3 linked regions of the Arabidopsis thaliana genome follow. The protein of the gene in region 1 interacts with the protein of each later gene in a pairwise test. Each region holds a gene or a part of one and is shown in the gene's direction. Other genes may lie near its edges.

Region 1 (7,953 bases):
TTTGTGTTAATGTAAACATTCCTACTTGTACTATCAGTAGACCAACATCGTATATTTTACCAAAACAATATATATGACGATAGAAAAACAATGGTAATTAGAAAATATTAAATTTTCCTAATGTAGATATTCTTGCATATAGTAACTACTAACCAGTGTCATTATCCCATCTTGAATCTTGATTTGTCTAGGGGTTAATTTAGAAAATGGGAGAATTTAAGCGGCCAATATGTGAAGATTGATGTAAACTAACCAGTGTCATTGTCCCATCTTGAATCTTGATTTGTCTAGGGAAGAAAAAGGGGTCAATTTAGAAAATGGGAGAAGTTAAGCGGCCAATATGTGAAGATTGATGTAACATTTTCAGCCCCCACCACACACTCAAACCCACAATGGACACATGATGGATAAGATTATAACCCGTTAAGATCTTTTTTTCTCTTTGATCAATCTTCACATGGGTTCTGGTCCTACTTGTATATGAAATGTTACCATACTCTCCTCTTTGTATTATACCCTTCACAAATTTTGTCCATAGGGTTTCCGACAAAAGGGTTTGAATCTGAACTGTTCTGATATTTTTAACCAAGCCTGATAGTGATCGTGATCGCTTGGGATGACCAGTCTGTAGTGGCAGATCCATTTTTGTTACCGGGATCATAATATAACTTTTAAGAGAAAAAAATGTTACTGAATTTGAGTGTAGTGGGGTCATTATATTAATACCAAATTTTACAAATGATGATACTGTTTTTTTTTTTAACAATATTTACATGCAATTAAAAAATATTTAGTTATTCAATCTGAGACGTATCGGCGCTATGCCATTGCTAGTCTATATTTGTTACACCGTTAAACTAGTTACACATTGCTTTTTAGAATATGCAAATGATCAAATGCATGGTTGTTTAAGGTTGGATTTTTATTTTTTTATCCAAAGTTTAAGGTTGTATTTGTGCCCATGATTTGATAGCATACCAAATCGATTGGGTTAACAACTGCTATATATTCTTGCAATATATTTTGTTTATGCATCGTAATGTATAGGGAAGTTATCTGCTAATTAATAATTAGAGTGATTTTTGGAAAACAAAATAGAGACAGAATTAATAAAACCATTTTAAAGAGAGAAAGTTTTGACAAAAAAAAAGCGAGAGAAAGTTTTGATAAATCAACCAAAAATGCATATAACAATGACATGTGATTGCTTTTTAATTTGTTTGTGATTTCTGTACCGATCTCCATGTTCGATTTCATCACTAAATCGGATAAAAGTGTATGTTCTTCTTTAATGTTTTTGCATGAAATATCTTGCAATGCATAAAGACTGAGATTTCTACCATTACAAAAGTGGAAAGAGAACATCTATGTAATATTGGGTCTCTGCATTTGCATTTGGGAACGGTTTTGGCGTTTTCAAATGACAACTCACTCCCACTTATAGTCACTGACACACACAGAAACTTTTAAAAGAACAACCATCACTCCACACACTTATGTGTTCTTCAAATGTTTTATTTATCATTTACTTCAATTATACGCACAAGTTACAACAAGCAAGTTTTTTTGTGCAATATTCTCTTTTATAATCCTGTTTGTCCTATACCAAAACCTAGATTAATCACTGTCAAACCAACATCATAAAATTGTTGGTTAAGTCATATAAACCATTCGTTTCCAATAAGTGCCATAGAAATTGAATATTGAGCATAGTCAGAATATATATTTATGTTTGGTCTGGTTTTGTTTGACAAAGAGAGTATATTCAGGTTTATAATCTAATTATCAAGACAGAGTTATACAGAAGATAGATAAACGATACTAGTGTTACGTTTCTATACAATCTTTTGAAAGTAAACAAAAGAAGCCATGTGGAATCAAAAACATTCGAAGCATGGGAAGATCAAATAATCCAGTGATGGAGCTAGAACGGAACTAAATCAATCATGAAACCTAAATAGTTTTTTAATCTTTCTAGAATCTCTTCTTATCAAAAAATTTCCTTATTTGTATAAAAAGCCTCGGGAAAGTTAACTTCTCATCCCAAACTCATTCCTCAGTTTATCTCTCGACTAGAGAGTGAAGGAAAAATCGAAGGATAATCTGTTTCTTCCAGCACAAGTTAACTTGCAAGGTAGTTTTCTCCCTTCGATTTATACTGTCTTGCTCACTTTCTTAGGCTATTTTTAGGACGATTCATTTTTTTAATTTGTATGTTATTCATCTTTTTAGGGTTCTTGTCACATTTTCGGCCTTAATTTGTATGTGTAAAAATATAAATAGTGAAGTAGATATCATTTTATATCGTCTAGCACTCTAGCTACTAGCTTGATCTGAAACTAGTATATATATAAATTATTTGAATGTCAGCTTTTTTTTGTGAAAGTCACACATCACATGGTAGTTGCATATTTCAAGAACTCAACTGAATTCGATTTAAAATTTCTCCAATCATAATTCATAAAGATATGTATTTCAATTTTTTTAAATAAAAATAGATTTTCCTATTTACCATGAAATTTTTTACTCTTTTTATTTGTTCTCATATAAATAGAGTGATAAACTATTTTACAAAGTTCATTTATGTGGAAATTGATAAAATGACAAGAACATGAAAAAAAGACAAAGATTTTTAGTTGAAATCTGTGATCGATCGAACAGAATCGGTTCAGCTACTGTTTTTGTAATAGAACAACTGTCCATTTTTATACCAAAATGACTAAACCACCCTTAGAAGATGCATGTGTTGTGTGGTACTAAAAACTCAAAAAAGCATTGAAACTTTACACCTTTGTGTCGTTTTCTCAATTTTACCCCCGCTTCATTTGGAATTGTCACTCTCAAAATTGGCGTATTTTCCAGTTCATATCTTCATTCATCTATGGCCCCATAAACCATAACTCTTTGAACCATATTTAATAATGTTACCTGCATGCATATACATTCATATAAAACATGTATTCATTATCATGTTAGATATGTCTAGTCTATTATTTCCCAAAAGAAAGACACCTAAGAGAGCAAGATTCTTGTTATTCATGATAACATTTTTGAAGATTCAAAAAAAATGAGTGATTGATGAATTATTTATGGTCAGCATCTAGTAAAATCATATCGACATATCCAGTCAGCCTTAGTAGAAATGCACCAAAGTGATATAGAGTGGATTTCTCTCGATCCGTGTAGAAATGGACCACCACATTGTCTGTTTAGAATATTATATTTTTTTGTATAAAATTGTAGACATAATCTCTTATTAATAAATATTTAATGCAAGTTAGTTATTTTTAATTTTATGAAAAGAGGTTAACTCCAATATGTACCATACTACTTGAAGAAGTTAAATGACAAAAAAAAATATAAGTAATACTACCATTTCCATATATTGTACTGATATTTCAAACTTTAATCAACTTTCCTTTCTATTTCTCCTTCTTTTTTTATGGTCAAACCCATTCTGTTTATGACTAAACATATGACATATCTAACCGTTATTAATTAGTTCACATATCACATATTTGTATAGTGTTTTCATTTTCAGTAATCAAACCATCCATCTACCACAAAAGAACTTGGTCATGTGTCCATTTTTAGAAATCAATAAAATATTATACCATATATTTATAGTATCTAACTTTAAGAGAATAAATATTTTTATTTGCCGATTCATATACACACACATGCGTGTGGTATCTATGTCTATCCATTAAACTAATTATATATAAACTTATTTTCTGGCCACAATTTTTGTTTCGTGTATAGAGAGAGCTCAAAGATGGAACCAACAGAAAAACCATCGACCAAACCATCTTCTCGGACTCTACCTAGAGACACTCGTGGCTCTCTCGAAGTATTCAACCCGTCAACTCAGCTGACCCGACCCGATAACCCGGTGTTCCGTCCTGAACCACCAGCGTGGCAAAACTTGAGTGATCCACGTGGCACCAGTCCTCAACCCCGACCACAACAAGAACCAGCTCCATCCAACCCTGTTCGGTCTGATCAAGAAATCGCTGTCACGACCTCATGGATGGCTCTGAAAGACCCATCACCGGAGACAATCTCCAAGAAGACGATCACCGCCGAGAAACCACAGAAGTCGGCGGTGGCGGCTGAGCAGAGAGCGGCAGAGTGGGGATTGGTTTTGAAGACCGATACAAAGACGGGAAAGCCACAAGGAGTAGGCGTGAGGAACTCTGGTGGAACTGAGAATGATCCTAACGGGAAAAAGACTACATCGCAGAGAAACTCGCAAAACTCTTGCCGGAGCTCCGGTGAGATGTCGGACGGAGATGTTCCCGGCGGGAGGAGTGGGATTCCAAGAGTATCGGAAGATCTAAAAGATGCGTTGTCGACGTTTCAACAAACGTTTGTGGTCTCAGATGCTACAAAACCTGATTATCCGATTATGTATGCAAGTGCTGGTTTCTTCAATATGACTGGTTACACTTCCAAAGAAGTCGTCGGCAGAAACTGGTAAAAAGTTATTCAAAAAATTTTAGAGCATTTTTTTAATATATAAAATACGTTTCGTTTTCTGTAATAATTACCAAAATTGCAAAGTTTTTTCTAATTAAATATCATAGTTTTGTTTTTAGGTTTATGGTTACTATAAATGTATAAAGATATCTTAAATGACTTAGTAATTCTTTCTAAATTTTCAAAAATTAAACCTAACTTTATTTTATTTTTTTAGAACTTTTCGAAACTGTGTACCAAAATTACAAAGATTAAGTTTTAGGTATGGTTATCCTAAATGATTTAGTAACTCTTACTAAATTTCTAAAAACTTTTTATAAACCTAATTTTTATGTTGTTTTTCCAAACTAATAGCCTTTTATAAACTAAGTTTATTTTTTAATGATAACTTAAAATATTTCTTTTAAATCGAACATTTCTTTGCAAATTCGAAAAATTTCTTACAAAAGTTTCCACCATTTTTTGTTCAATGAATGAATTTTATTTACAAAAAGAAAGAAGAAAAGAACATAATTTGGGTTTTTGTTTTATTGTAGCCGATTTTTACAAGGATCAGGTACAGATGCAGATGAGTTAGCAAAGATAAGAGAGACATTAGCTGCTGGTAACAATTATTGTGGGCGTATATTGAATTACAAGAAAGATGGGACCTCTTTTTGGAATCTTCTCACGATTGCTCCCATTAAAGACGAGAGTGGCAAAGTCCTCAAATTTATCGGGTTAGTCCCTTATTCCTTTTTATTTACTCGTTTCTCTCCTTTATTTCTTTCATTCAAAATGTCACCCTTTTTAATGGGTCTAAGTGTGGACCTGTGATTTGTGTTGCTTTCTCCGCAATAATTCAAAGATTTGTATCACCGACGGATCCTATTGTAGAATAACAAAAGAGAATAATCAATCAGGAAAAAGAAAAGAATTATAGAATCTGATAAAAAAATATGATTTTGAGGAAAAATCAGAAGATACCAATATGTTTTGTTTATTTGGACCAGAATGCAAGTGGAGGTGAGCAAGCACACTGAAGGGGCCAAAGAAAAGGCTTTGAGGCCCAATGGGCTTCCGGAATCTCTGATTCGATACGATGGTATTTACATACTTTCTTTTTCTATTTGTTTTTCCAAATTTTTTTCCATTTATTATGTTTTCTTAAAAATATTTTCAAATTTTGTTTTGTAAAAGCCCGCCAAAAAGATATGGCGACAAACTCAGTGACAGAGCTAGTAGAGGCGGTGAAGAGACCTCGGGCACTAAGCGAATCGACGAATCTCCATCCCTTCATGACAAAATCGGAGAGCGATGAACTTCCGAAAAAACCAGCTCGGCGAATGTCCGAAAATGTTGTTCCGTCAGGCCGAAGAAACTCTGGCGGCGGAAGAAGAAACTCGATGCAGCGAATCAACGAAATTCCCGAGAAAAAATCTAGAAAATCTTCCCTTTCCTTCATGGGGTAATAATCCTTACTAGATCATTTGTTTACCTGACAATTACTTTATAAAAATCGATTTAGTCTTTGATATGATTGTTGTGATACTCTGGTGATAGGATCAAGAAGAAGAGCGAATCTTTGGATGAATCTATAGACGATGGATTTATAGAGTATGGAGAAGAAGACGATGAGATTAGTGATAGGGACGAGAGACCTGAGAGTGTGGATGATAAAGTGAGACAAAAGGAAATGAGAAAGGGTATTGATCTAGCTACTACACTCGAACGTATCGAGAAGAATTTCGTCATCACTGATCCTAGGCTTCCCGATAATCCCATTGTAAGAACAAATGTTTTAGAAAAATGGAAACTTTTTTTGTTATGTTTCATTTCGATTGGTCTGAAAACGTATTGTTTGCTTTGTCCTATGTTTCTAGATTTTTGCATCTGATAGTTTCTTGGAGCTCACGGAATATAGCCGTGAAGAAATTCTTGGAAGAAATTGCAGGTATTACATGAATGTGATCTCAAAATGTCTTTTGAAAATATTTTTGAGCATAGAGCATGTGTTTATAAATTTTGTTTCATGGTTTTAGGTTTCTACAAGGTCCAGAGACTGATCTAACCACAGTGAAGAAGATTCGAAATGCTATTGATAACCAAACCGAAGTGACAGTTCAGCTCATCAACTACACCAAGAGCGGTACTCGATTTTTTCGATATTCTTAGATTAATCTGTCGATCATTGTATAAAGTTTTAAATTTACATTATATTCTCTGTGGCAGGAAAGAAGTTCTGGAACATTTTCCACTTGCAACCTATGCGTGATCAGAAGGTATAATGGTTTACATAGATATCTTGCATTATACGGCACCTTCAAACTAATCCTCAATTTCTTTTGGTTTATGAATTTAAAACTGAAGATGTCTATATTCTTTCTTTGATATGTTGTTGACAGGGAGAAGTACAATACTTTATTGGAGTTCAACTAGACGGGAGCAAGCACGTAGAACCAGTTCGCAATGTCATTGAAGAAACCGCAGTGAAAGAGGGAGAAGACCTGGTCTGGAATCCTAAACTATTGATCTTGATTTAGTATTCGTTTGATAGAAAATCAAGTATTAAACCTTAATCTATATTCTTTAGGTGAAAAAAACAGCTGTGAATATCGATGAAGCGGTTCGAGAACTTCCTGATGCCAACATGGTAAGTGATTGTCTAAGGATCTGAATATGATCATTTTAGATTAAGGTTTATTAGAATATATCTGACAGAATGTTTTATTGTGTCTTGTTTCTGAAGACACCAGAGGATTTATGGGCAAACCACTCAAAGGTTGTTCATTGTAAGCCTCACAGGAAAGATTCACCACCATGGATAGCTATCCAAAAGGTGTTGGAAAGTGGTGAACCGATTGGTTTGAAGCATTTCAAACCGGTGAAACCTTTGGGTTCTGGTGACACAGGAAGGTCTGAAACTCTATCTAATCTAATGAAATAGCTTACAAAAAAAAAGAACATTTCCTTCATTAATCTTATAATATCCCATTTGTGTTTTATCAGTGTGCATCTAGTGGAACTCGTTGGAACAGATCAGTTGTTTGCAATGAAAGCAATGGACAAGGCTGTTATGCTTAACCGAAACAAAGTAATTACAGTAACTTGCACTTCAAGGAATCTTGAGTTTCGCTTTTTATTTGTAAGTTTTGTAGCCACTGATATAATTTTTTGCAGGTACATAGAGCTAGAGCTGAGAGAGAGATCCTAGATTTGCTTGACCATCCTTTTCTTCCTGCACTCTACGCTTCTTTTCAGGTCAAAACCTCTGTTTACACATATATATATATATATATATATATATATATATATGCGTGTCTCTTTGGTCTTTGGTTACTAATGGATCATGTTTTATTCTGCAGACAAAAACACATATATGTCTTATAACAGATTACTATCCAGGAGGAGAACTCTTCATGCTCCTAGATCGACAACCTAGGAAGGTTCTCAAAGAAGATGCTGTAAGGTACAAGTGTTCCTCGCTCGAAAAAG
Region 2 (4,444 bases), on another chromosome or scaffold:
GAACACCGTCGGCAATATCGTATACTCTGATGTTCGCCGGACGATCTGCTTCGTCACCGGAGGAAAATAACGAAGAGTTGGATTGTGCGGTGTTGAAGAAAGAGAAGACGGTGGAAGGAGAGGCGGAGGCGAGGCGGCGCGTGACGGTGAGGAGAGGAGCTGCATGAGTGCCGAAAGGAAAAGCGAGAACTGCCACGTGGGAGTCTCTGGTTGGGTCGGAGGGTTTGGTCATGGTGCGAGTAATGAAGAAGAAGACTTGAAAAGAGAAGAGAGAGTTTGTTGGAGAATAAATAGAGAGGAGAGGGCTAAAGAGAAGAGAGAGTGTGGTCGTAAATGAACCACCGAGCAAGTGTAAAGCTCGTGTTTCGTGGTTGGTACCGATCTCTTCTCTTTCTTTATATAACAAGTAAACAACTTTTTTAATCAAATTTTTTTATGAACGACAAATTTAATAACAAAATCCGTTTTTTGATATTTTCTTTTTTTTCAGAGAAAATGTTTTTGTTTTTTTATGTAATTTTCTTCTTATAGAAAGGACATTTTTAGGATTGTATTTGTATCTGTACTTTGTACATGATATCTTAATAAAGCAATTATTAGATTATTTTTTCAACCAAAAAAATAAAAATTATTGATTTGTCATAAGATTTGATTGGTTGAATGATTTATTTTAAGACTTTAGAGGGAAAAAATAAAAGAAAATAATCTATTTTACCCGTCAACAAAGTAGTAGACTTTTGTTTTTTATGATCATCCGTTGAAAAAATAGGAAATTATAACACTAGCAAAAAGGGTGGGAGTTAGAGTATCCGTTTGAATTCAGATCGAATATTTTAGATTTTTAGGTTTTCAAATTTAGAGGTATAAAATCTATTCGGATAATTCTATATTGTGGGTTGGGTCAGAATATTTCGAATTTGGATTATCCGAAGTTCCCAAAAATCAACTTTTTTATAAACGAATCTATCTAAACTCCTAGAAAGTATACAAAACATCTAAAAATTTTGAACATTTTTACCCAAATTTATTCAAAAATAGATTAAATACCCAAAAATATCTAAAATATTTTAAAATCCTAATATTTTGACACTAAAATTATTATAAATATAAATGCTAATAATAATTTATTACTATGTACTTAAATTGTAGGTATGTTAGGATATACATTCGGATACTGGTTCAAATTATTACTAACGATTGGGTGTTCAAATTCAGATATTATGCACACCTTAAATTCAAATCCACAAATTGTTTATCAATAAAAGTATATTTTAAGATGGATTTTGAAATCATTAGTTCAATAACACTGAATTTCATGAGACTTTTTAAAATCCATGTTTGAATAACATTAGATTTATAAATTTTACACAAATCTCTTAAAATTTCACTTTCAATTTACCCCCTAAGATATTAAAATTGTTATTACTTCTGATTTTTGACTCAATACTCACTGAATTCGTTTCGTTTGGTAGGTGATATATGTGGCTATTGTTAAACCGAGCCTGCCAACCCAAAATAAAAAGTTAGAAACCAATCCGACCCATTATTTGTAAATTGGGCTGCAAAGCCTAGAAAAAAATATTCACTATTTTGCGATAGTATTATTAAATTTATATATTTGAGAAAATGAGAGAATGGTGGAAGTAAAATAATTTGAAAGGAATATGAATATTCCGTTGAAGAAGACTTGCTCCTGAAATCCTTTGGACCGAAACTCGTAAAATTATTTCCCTTCAATTTCTCTGAAATCTATTCACCGTCTCCTTTGTCTCCTCCTCCAAATCGATCGTTCCTCGTCGTCGTCTGATTTTCTCTACGATTGCTTTTTCTGTCTAGCTCGATAAGATAAAACAAAACTAATTTTTGAAGAGTTTTTTTTTTTGGGTTTGGGAGCGATGGGTCAAGCTTTTCGTAAGCTATTCGATACTTTCTTCGGCAATCAAGAAATGAGGGTAATCTCATCATCTCTCGTGCTATTTATCTGGATGGGATCTCGTGTAATTTTGTCATCTTTGATTTGTTTTGGTTTTAGTCATAGCTTTTATCGCCCATGTCTGACCTTTGATGTTTCGGAATTTTGGATTTGGAAAAGACTTTATAACTCAAGCTTGTGTTTTCTGGATTCTTCTCTATTACGAATCATAGATTTGTTGTTAGCTGTGGCATGATGAATCAGAATTGAAGAAATGATTTTTGAATCTCTCTTTTTTTTTTCCAATTTTGTGATTAATGACAGGTCGTTATGCTGGGGCTGGATGCTGCTGGAAAAACAACTATTCTCTACAAGCTTCATATTGGAGAAGTTTTGTCTACTGTTCCCACCATTGGTAAGCTTTCTGGTTGTTTTTTGAGCTGTGATTATTCTTGATCTCAGAAGCTATGTAGTTGGATTCATTTCTTGTTTTGGAACAAGATTTGGATAGATCTTTGGTGAATGCTGTCAGAATTGTAGATACTCGGAACATCTATCTTCTCCTTCAGCTGAATCTCATGATATTCTGCCAACTTTTGTGATGCCTTGTACTTCTGAAGTCATAAGTTGTGTCTGTGAATTTCTCTTGTGTCATTCAGTTATGATACATGGTTCTTGTGACATTATACTTTTATCTATGATTATTGTTCTGTCATTTTCCTTTTGGTTGTTTGGATTATGTCTGCTGACAATTTAAACTTATGTTACTCAGGATTCAATGTTGAGAAAGTTCAGTACAAGAATGTGATGTTCACAGTTTGGGATGTTGGTGGCCAAGAGAAACTGAGACCTCTTTGGAGGCATTACTTCAATAATACTGATGGACTTGTACGTATATAGTTTTTTTTTCGATTTTTGCTTTCAGTCAGATACTTAACTTTCAAGGTTTTTCCATCTCTATGTTGGCATATGTTATCCTATATTTGGTTATGATGTTGCAGTATCATATGTTGCTTGGCCAATCTTTAGATCTTTTTCCATCTTTATCGACCATGGTATAAGACTACTCTATGATGCTCTTGCAGATATACGTGGTGGATTCCTTAGATCGAGAGAGGATCGGGAAAGCAAAGCAAGAATTTCAGGTATAATACCTCAGAACTTGCAAAAGACTTTTCGTAAACTCTCTGGATTATACCTTACCCTGCTCTCGGATTGCCACAGGAGATCATAAAAGACCCATTCATGCTAAACAGTATCATTCTGGTGTTTGCAAACAAACAGGACATGGTAATTCGATATTTTCTTTTGGTTTTTGTTTGTTTCTCGTCTGTGCTTATAATTCCTCAATTCACTTCTTTACTCTGCTGGATATTAGAGAGGAGCCATGTCACCGAGAGAAGTATGTGAAGGGTTAGGCTTATTTGATCTCAAGAACAGGAAATGGCACATACAAGGTACTTGTGCTCTTCGTGGAGACGGGCTTTATGAAGGCTTGGACTGGTTATCATCTACTCTTAAGGATGTTAAAGCCGCTGGATTCACATCGGTTGGCCACTCGTTTTAAATCTTCCAGGTAATATAAAGACCTGAAAACACCAGCGAGCTATAACCAGTAGTTCAGTACAATTACTCTCAGTCTCGTGATCAGGATCTTGTAAAACGTCATTTCTCCTTGCAGGTATACTTTGATATCAATGGCCAGTGTCTTCTTCTTGGCTTTATCACGAAATCAGAATCTCTGAAGACTTTTTTTGTTAAGGAAAGAATGATCTTCTCATTGTGGCAATATTAGACTCCATTAGACTATTTTTGAATTTTGATCATGCTGCCATGAAAGCTTCTTTGTATATTCTGCTGATGAAGAGTTGTATCATCTGAAAAACCTTCTCTTTGGGGTCATCTTTGTCCGATTAAGACTTTGGTAGATGTATATACATTCCTTCGAAATCATGATATATTTTTTTATAACAATTATAAGTTTTCCCTTCTTCTTTTTCTCAACATATTTGGCATTTTGGCCTTTTGGTGATTTTATAGGTTATGCAGAATATTCAGTTAAGAATCTACCCAAAAATCCCAGTTGAAAACAGTATGTTGCAAACTCTCTTAGAAATTAGAAAAAGCTTAAGCTTAGAGAAAGATTAACACGTTGCTGAAGATAAGAATTTTTATCTCACAAAGATTAACACATAATGCTGACATCGTTATATTACCATTATTAGGTTATCTAGGTTGTTTAATTTTTCTCTTTTATCTAGGGAATTTACTTCTTCTTTCTTTGTGCTGGTCAGTAGGATAAATGCGTTTTACTGATAAACCAGAAATTCCACAAAAACAAGAATATTCTTAAGACTAATATAGTGCAAGATCAAGATCCTAGAACAAGCATTATATTCCAGATCAGTTTTCAAAGCTGATAATGTTCAAACTTTGACTCTCTAGGCACACGTTGTAGGCAACCGTGAATCTCCTTCCTCTGCCACCATTGAATCCGATAATGGTTGTGCAGCAGCTACAGAAGGAAGTTGA
Region 3 (4,652 bases), 6.2 Mb from region 1:
ACGGGTCCACAAATCCTGAAACCTCATAAACCAAATAAACCAATCAAAACCGGTTAACTAATTAAAATAGGACTTTTATAGATGCGGTCGATACGCACCGTATAGTTTGAAATCGGCGGAGAGTTTATATTTGATGGAGTAAATATCAACGTAGACGAGAGTGGCGTCTTTGAATTGGGATCTCAGTTCGTTGCAGAGACTAAGGAGTCCTTTGTTGAAGGCTTTGGCGACTTCATTGTGAACCCGGAAACAACCAATCGGGTCAAGATCCGAATCGTTATGCAGGTGAATCGCCAATTCTTTTGGTGCACAGCCCAATGGGCCTGTGTTGTGTACCCAAAACTTTCTCCCTCCGTATAAATATACAGTCTTCAGTACAACATACCAAATCACAAATCAGCCGTATTAGGTATGGTTTAATAGTCAACTAGAAAGTTTTAAACAATTGCCCATTTGCCCCAAGAAAGTTGGAAAATCAAATATGGGTAGAGTTTTTTAGTTTTACTTAAATAATGTCCCTGAAGTTTTTAGTTACCGATTTACCACCCTAATAAGTTTATGAAAAAATAAGTTTTGGGGCTAACAGTTTACGTATATGTAAAAATAAAAAAAAATTGTGGAAGAAATGAAGTACCTGTATGGCTTTCTTTATCTCAAGAAGCATGGAAGGAATTTTTTCGACAACGGGTGCATAGGTTAAATTCGAATCATATAGAGCAAGTAAAAGATCGTTTTGTCCAATATCGATCATGTACAACGCGTTTCTAAATCCATTATCATCAATAAGGTCTCTTCTACCTATCAACAAGGAAACATATTTTGTAAGTAATTAAGACGAGATATGTATAAATTGTTTGGGACAAAAGTAATTACCGGAAGAGATAAGTTCTTGAGAACGGTTTTTGAAATGGACGAATTGACGAATTTGAATGGCAAGAGGGAAGGAAAAGATCGGAAGAGCGGTGGCGCCCGAGACTGCGAAATTGACTCCTCTTTTGAAATTTGGTGAAAGTGAATCCAAATATGGACTCAAATATGTCATCTTTAAATGTTCACCTGATCATATATCAAAAGGTTTAATCAAATATATAACATTACATGTACATAAAACATATATTTAAAGAATTGAAACTCTTGTTGAAAAAAAAGAGAAAGAATTGGGACTCACAGTAGAAGTCAACGATGAGTCGACCGTCACCGAGACGACCAGTGCCTCTATGGAAGAAGGTAATGCCATGAGGGAGTCCGATAGGAAGTCCAACTCCAGCAAGAACTCCTCCGGTGTCGGAGTTAGAGTCGCCGAAGTTTATCAATATAGGTTTCTTGTTTGACTTGTAACTAGTTTCAGAGTTAGAGCAAACCAAAAGAGAGAGACATAAAACTAAGAAGAAGCATTGTAGAGAGGAAACAGTGTAATCCATTTCTTTTGAATTCTTGCTACTCAGATAATTTTAATCAAGATTCACGATCTGAAGCTTTTACATATAGTAATGTCTTTGGCTTAGAAAGTCAAATTTTTTGAATGTAAGTCAATAAGTACTATTGCAAGTCGCATTATATAAATCTCTAAATAATCTCAAAGTAAAAGCAATCAATCAACCTATAGATCCGATCGGCCATGTTCTATAAGGATTGTCAGAACTTGTTGAGCTATTAAAATACTCCGTACAACTTATTTGATTAATATGGGCCAAATCCGAAAATAAATGGACCTTATCGAATATTTTGTTCGAAGTCCAGGCCCACTAATCGAGTGCGAAAAAACAAAAACAAATGCGGTGAGCGTGGATCGAACACGCGACCTTCAGATCTTCAGTCTGACGCTCTCCCAACTGAGCTATCCCCGCTACTTGTTATCGAAGCTAAAATAATAAAATAAATACAAATATTTGTAAAAGCGAGAATTTGTGATTTTTTTTGGCAATAAGTAGAGAATAGTTGTGTTCCACGATTCCTCCTCTCACGTTCGAAGACCATTTCTTGTTCTTTGGACGACCATCGGCGACAGTGTTAAGTCTAGAGTCTTCTTCTTCTTCGGCGTAGTTTTTTCCCCGGTAAGTCTCCGTTCATCGCCGAATCTGTATCCCTCTTTCTCTTTTTGTTTACTTGATCGTCTCTTTCGATTATGTATATCGCGATCGGAGTCCGTCATCTCCAGATCTGTGTGTATGCGCTTAATTTCGTTATGGATGTGACATGATTTCTTGTGATTCGTTTCCTTAGGGTTGATAGATCTGTATCCTGCATGATCGTTATAGATAGTGATCTAGATTTGTCTTTTTTCAGATCGAAATTTAGATCTCTTATTGTTAATCATGTTGATTTTATTGAAACTTGCTCATACGAATGAGATCCGAGAGCATTTGGAAACATAGGATTGCTTTGCGTTGTAATTGTTTTCTCAAGTGATGGATATTGAATCTATGTGATTGATGCAAAATGAGTTCCAGAGAATTTATAATCCTAGGATTGCATGATAACTTCTTTGCTTTGTGATTGTTTTCTAAAGTATTTATTCCATATGAATGCTGCAATTGAGTATGCGTTTAGACTGAAGGTGTTATTTGAAAACTCTGAAACAGGCTTGAAAAATGGGTCTATCCTTCGGAAAGTTGTTCAGCAAGCTCTTTGCAAAGAAAGAGATGCGTATCCTCATGGTGGGTCTCGATGCAGCTGGTAAGACTACGATCTTGTACAAGCTCAAGCTTGGAGAGATCGTGACTACGATTCCAACCATTGGTGAGTTTCTAACTTTGCATACTCTTTCTTTCATCTAATTATTATTCATCTCTAAACTTAGTATGTGAAATTGACACATTGTTATGCAATCATCTCAAGGGCTTAGGTTGAATTTTTCGTATCATGGTTGGATTCCTAGATTAGATTGGAACTTGAATATATAGTTGCAAGTTTTTTCATTTGGTTTGCATGCGGTGTACTTCTACTTGCTCAAGGGCATTCATCTTTGATTCATGGTTTGTGTATGATTCATAGAATGAGTGCTTGAATTTTTTAGATCTGTCGTATTGACAATACCTGTTCTTGCTAGGTTTCAATGTGGAGACTGTGGAATACAAGAACATTAGCTTTACCGTGTGGGATGTCGGGGGTCAAGACAAGGTATTGTGATTACAGTCCTTTACCAGCATTCGACAATTACTATAGCTAAATCCTTGATTCTCCATGAGCTGTCCTATTTTACTGAATGGCACTTTCACTATTCCAATATAACCTTTTTTGTTTGCTTGCTCATCCAGATTCGTCCATTGTGGAGGCACTACTTCCAGAACACTCAGGGACTTATCTTTGTGGTGGACAGCAATGATCGTGACCGTGTTGTGGAAGCCAGAGATGAGCTTCACAGAATGTTGAACGAAGTAAAACTCAAACAAAAATCTCCTTCTCTAATGTTACATTATGAAGCAGTTGGCATCATTTTGTTTCCTTTTTGACTGTTGCAGGATGAGTTGAGAGATGCTGTGCTTCTCGTTTTTGCTAACAAGCAAGATCTTCCAAATGCGATGAACGCCGCTGAGATAACCGATAAGCTTGGACTTCACTCTCTCCGTCAACGACACTGGTGAGCCAAAGAAAACCAAACCAAATCTCTTTATTTACCAGATACCTATATCGTAACATGAAAAGCTGATGTAAATCGTTGGTGGGGTTTGTTGAACAGGTACATACAGAGCACATGTGCTACCTCCGGAGAAGGGCTTTATGAGGGACTTGACTGGCTCTCTAACAACATCGCAAACAAGGTATACAACTTTACAATTTTTGAAATCGTATTAGTAAGAAATTGATTGTTAAAGACTTACTCAAATGTGTGATTAACTTGCAGGCTTAGGAGAACAACGTGTGGTTTGGTTTTTAATCGAGGAGAGTCTTGTCTTCTTCCTTCTATCTTTTGTTCTTTCGTCTCAAACTCTTATCATTTCATACTCTTTGTTCTTCGCTCTAATAATTTACAAGTTTTTTTTTTTGTTGCTTTTATCCTATAATTCAGACTCTTATAAAATGGGGCCCAATTTCGGCGGATATTCCAATTTTTTTTTTTTTTTTGCCGGCATCCAATTTCTTTAGGCTTCTGCATTTACCGAATATATTTCTTTGAGATGGCCCAAATTCGTGAGATGAACTTGAAAAATGTTGGAACAGAATCCAAACAGTATTCAAACGGTATAACTAAGAGAAATCAAAATCAACGTATTTTGATTCCTATATGTCATCAAGTATACTAATAAAAAAAAAAACTGAATTTAGAACTAATCCGCAAATCTGATTGGATGGGGGCAGCACCAGTACAAAGAGCTACAGTTCCCGATTTAATCATAATTAAATACGTTGTAAGAAAAATGAAGAAGAAGTTAATTAATAGTAGATCTCCACTACACTTTTAACAATTACATACACTCAAAATCTTAGCGGCATTTTTTCTAAAGGTTTCCCAAAGAAGGAGAGCTCACTTTATCTTTCGTCTCTCTTCTTAGGTCTAGGGTTCTGGTGGAGAAGATTGTGGTTGTTTCTTAGGGTTTTCTGAGAGAAAGCATGTTGTTAACTACGGGAAGAAAGGAGAAACTCTCTGTTTCTAAAGGTTCTGAAATTGAAATCTCGTCTCAAGAGTATGAGTATGGTAGTGGAAATGTCTG

The links. The genes of interacting proteins can lie anywhere in the genome.
Region 2: the proteins of PHOT1 (region 1) and ARFB1B interact in a two-hybrid assay, tested with the Arabidopsis thaliana proteins (one study listed by BioGRID).
Region 3: the proteins of PHOT1 (region 1) and ARFA1E interact in a two-hybrid assay, tested with the Arabidopsis thaliana proteins (one study listed by BioGRID).

What each region holds. Positions count from the first base shown.
Region 1 is NC_003074.8:16,814,782-16,822,734, forward strand, and holds the start of PHOT1 (phototropin 1), read left to right. Parts: upstream 1-1,939; 5' UTR 1,940-2,134; intron 2,135-3,565; exon of another isoform or gene 3,566-3,762; 5' UTR 3,763-3,775; coding exon 3,776-4,476; intron 4,477-5,015; coding exon 5,016-5,198; intron 5,199-5,471; coding exon 5,472-5,563; intron 5,564-5,658; coding exon 5,659-5,926; intron 5,927-6,021; coding exon 6,022-6,244; intron 6,245-6,341; coding exon 6,342-6,412; intron 6,413-6,500; coding exon 6,501-6,607; intron 6,608-6,690; coding exon 6,691-6,740; intron 6,741-6,863; coding exon 6,864-6,968; intron 6,969-7,051; coding exon 7,052-7,111; intron 7,112-7,207; coding exon 7,208-7,374; intron 7,375-7,467; coding exon 7,468-7,552; intron 7,553-7,638; coding exon 7,639-7,719; intron 7,720-7,823; coding exon 7,824-7,927; intron 7,928-7,953. UniProt on the Arabidopsis thaliana protein: Protein kinase that acts as a blue light (BL) photoreceptor in a signal-transduction pathway for photo-induced movements.
Region 2 is NC_003076.8:5,609,161-5,613,604, forward strand, and holds ARFB1B (ADP-ribosylation factor B1B), read left to right. Parts: upstream 1-1,580; 5' UTR 1,581-1,895; coding exon 1,896-1,952; intron 1,953-2,236; coding exon 2,237-2,327; intron 2,328-2,684; coding exon 2,685-2,800; intron 2,801-2,997; coding exon 2,998-3,057; intron 3,058-3,136; coding exon 3,137-3,202; intron 3,203-3,290; coding exon 3,291-3,479; 3' UTR 3,480-3,488; exon of another isoform or gene 3,489-3,593; 3' UTR 3,594-3,914; downstream 3,915-4,444. Other genes in the region: UGT78D2 (UDP-glucosyl transferase 78D2), read right to left, coding at 1-232; AT5G17070 (serine/threonine-protein phosphatase 4 regulatory subunit-like protein), read right to left, coding at 4,354-4,427.
Region 3 is NC_003074.8:23,049,696-23,054,347, forward strand, and holds ARFA1E (ADP-ribosylation factor A1E), read left to right. Parts: upstream 1-1,848; 5' UTR 1,849-2,054; intron 2,055-2,582; 5' UTR 2,583-2,591; coding exon 2,592-2,739; intron 2,740-3,049; coding exon 3,050-3,120; intron 3,121-3,257; coding exon 3,258-3,377; intron 3,378-3,461; coding exon 3,462-3,580; intron 3,581-3,679; coding exon 3,680-3,761; intron 3,762-3,844; coding exon 3,845-3,850; 3' UTR 3,851-3,891; exon of another isoform or gene 3,892-3,975; 3' UTR 3,976-4,122; downstream 4,123-4,652. Other genes in the region: AT3G62280 (GDSL-like Lipase/Acylhydrolase superfamily protein), read right to left, coding at 1-15, 99-369, 635-798, 874-1,056, 1,169-1,421; DUF7 (agenet domain protein (DOMAIN OF UNKNOWN FUNCTION 724 7)), read left to right, coding at 4,552-4,652.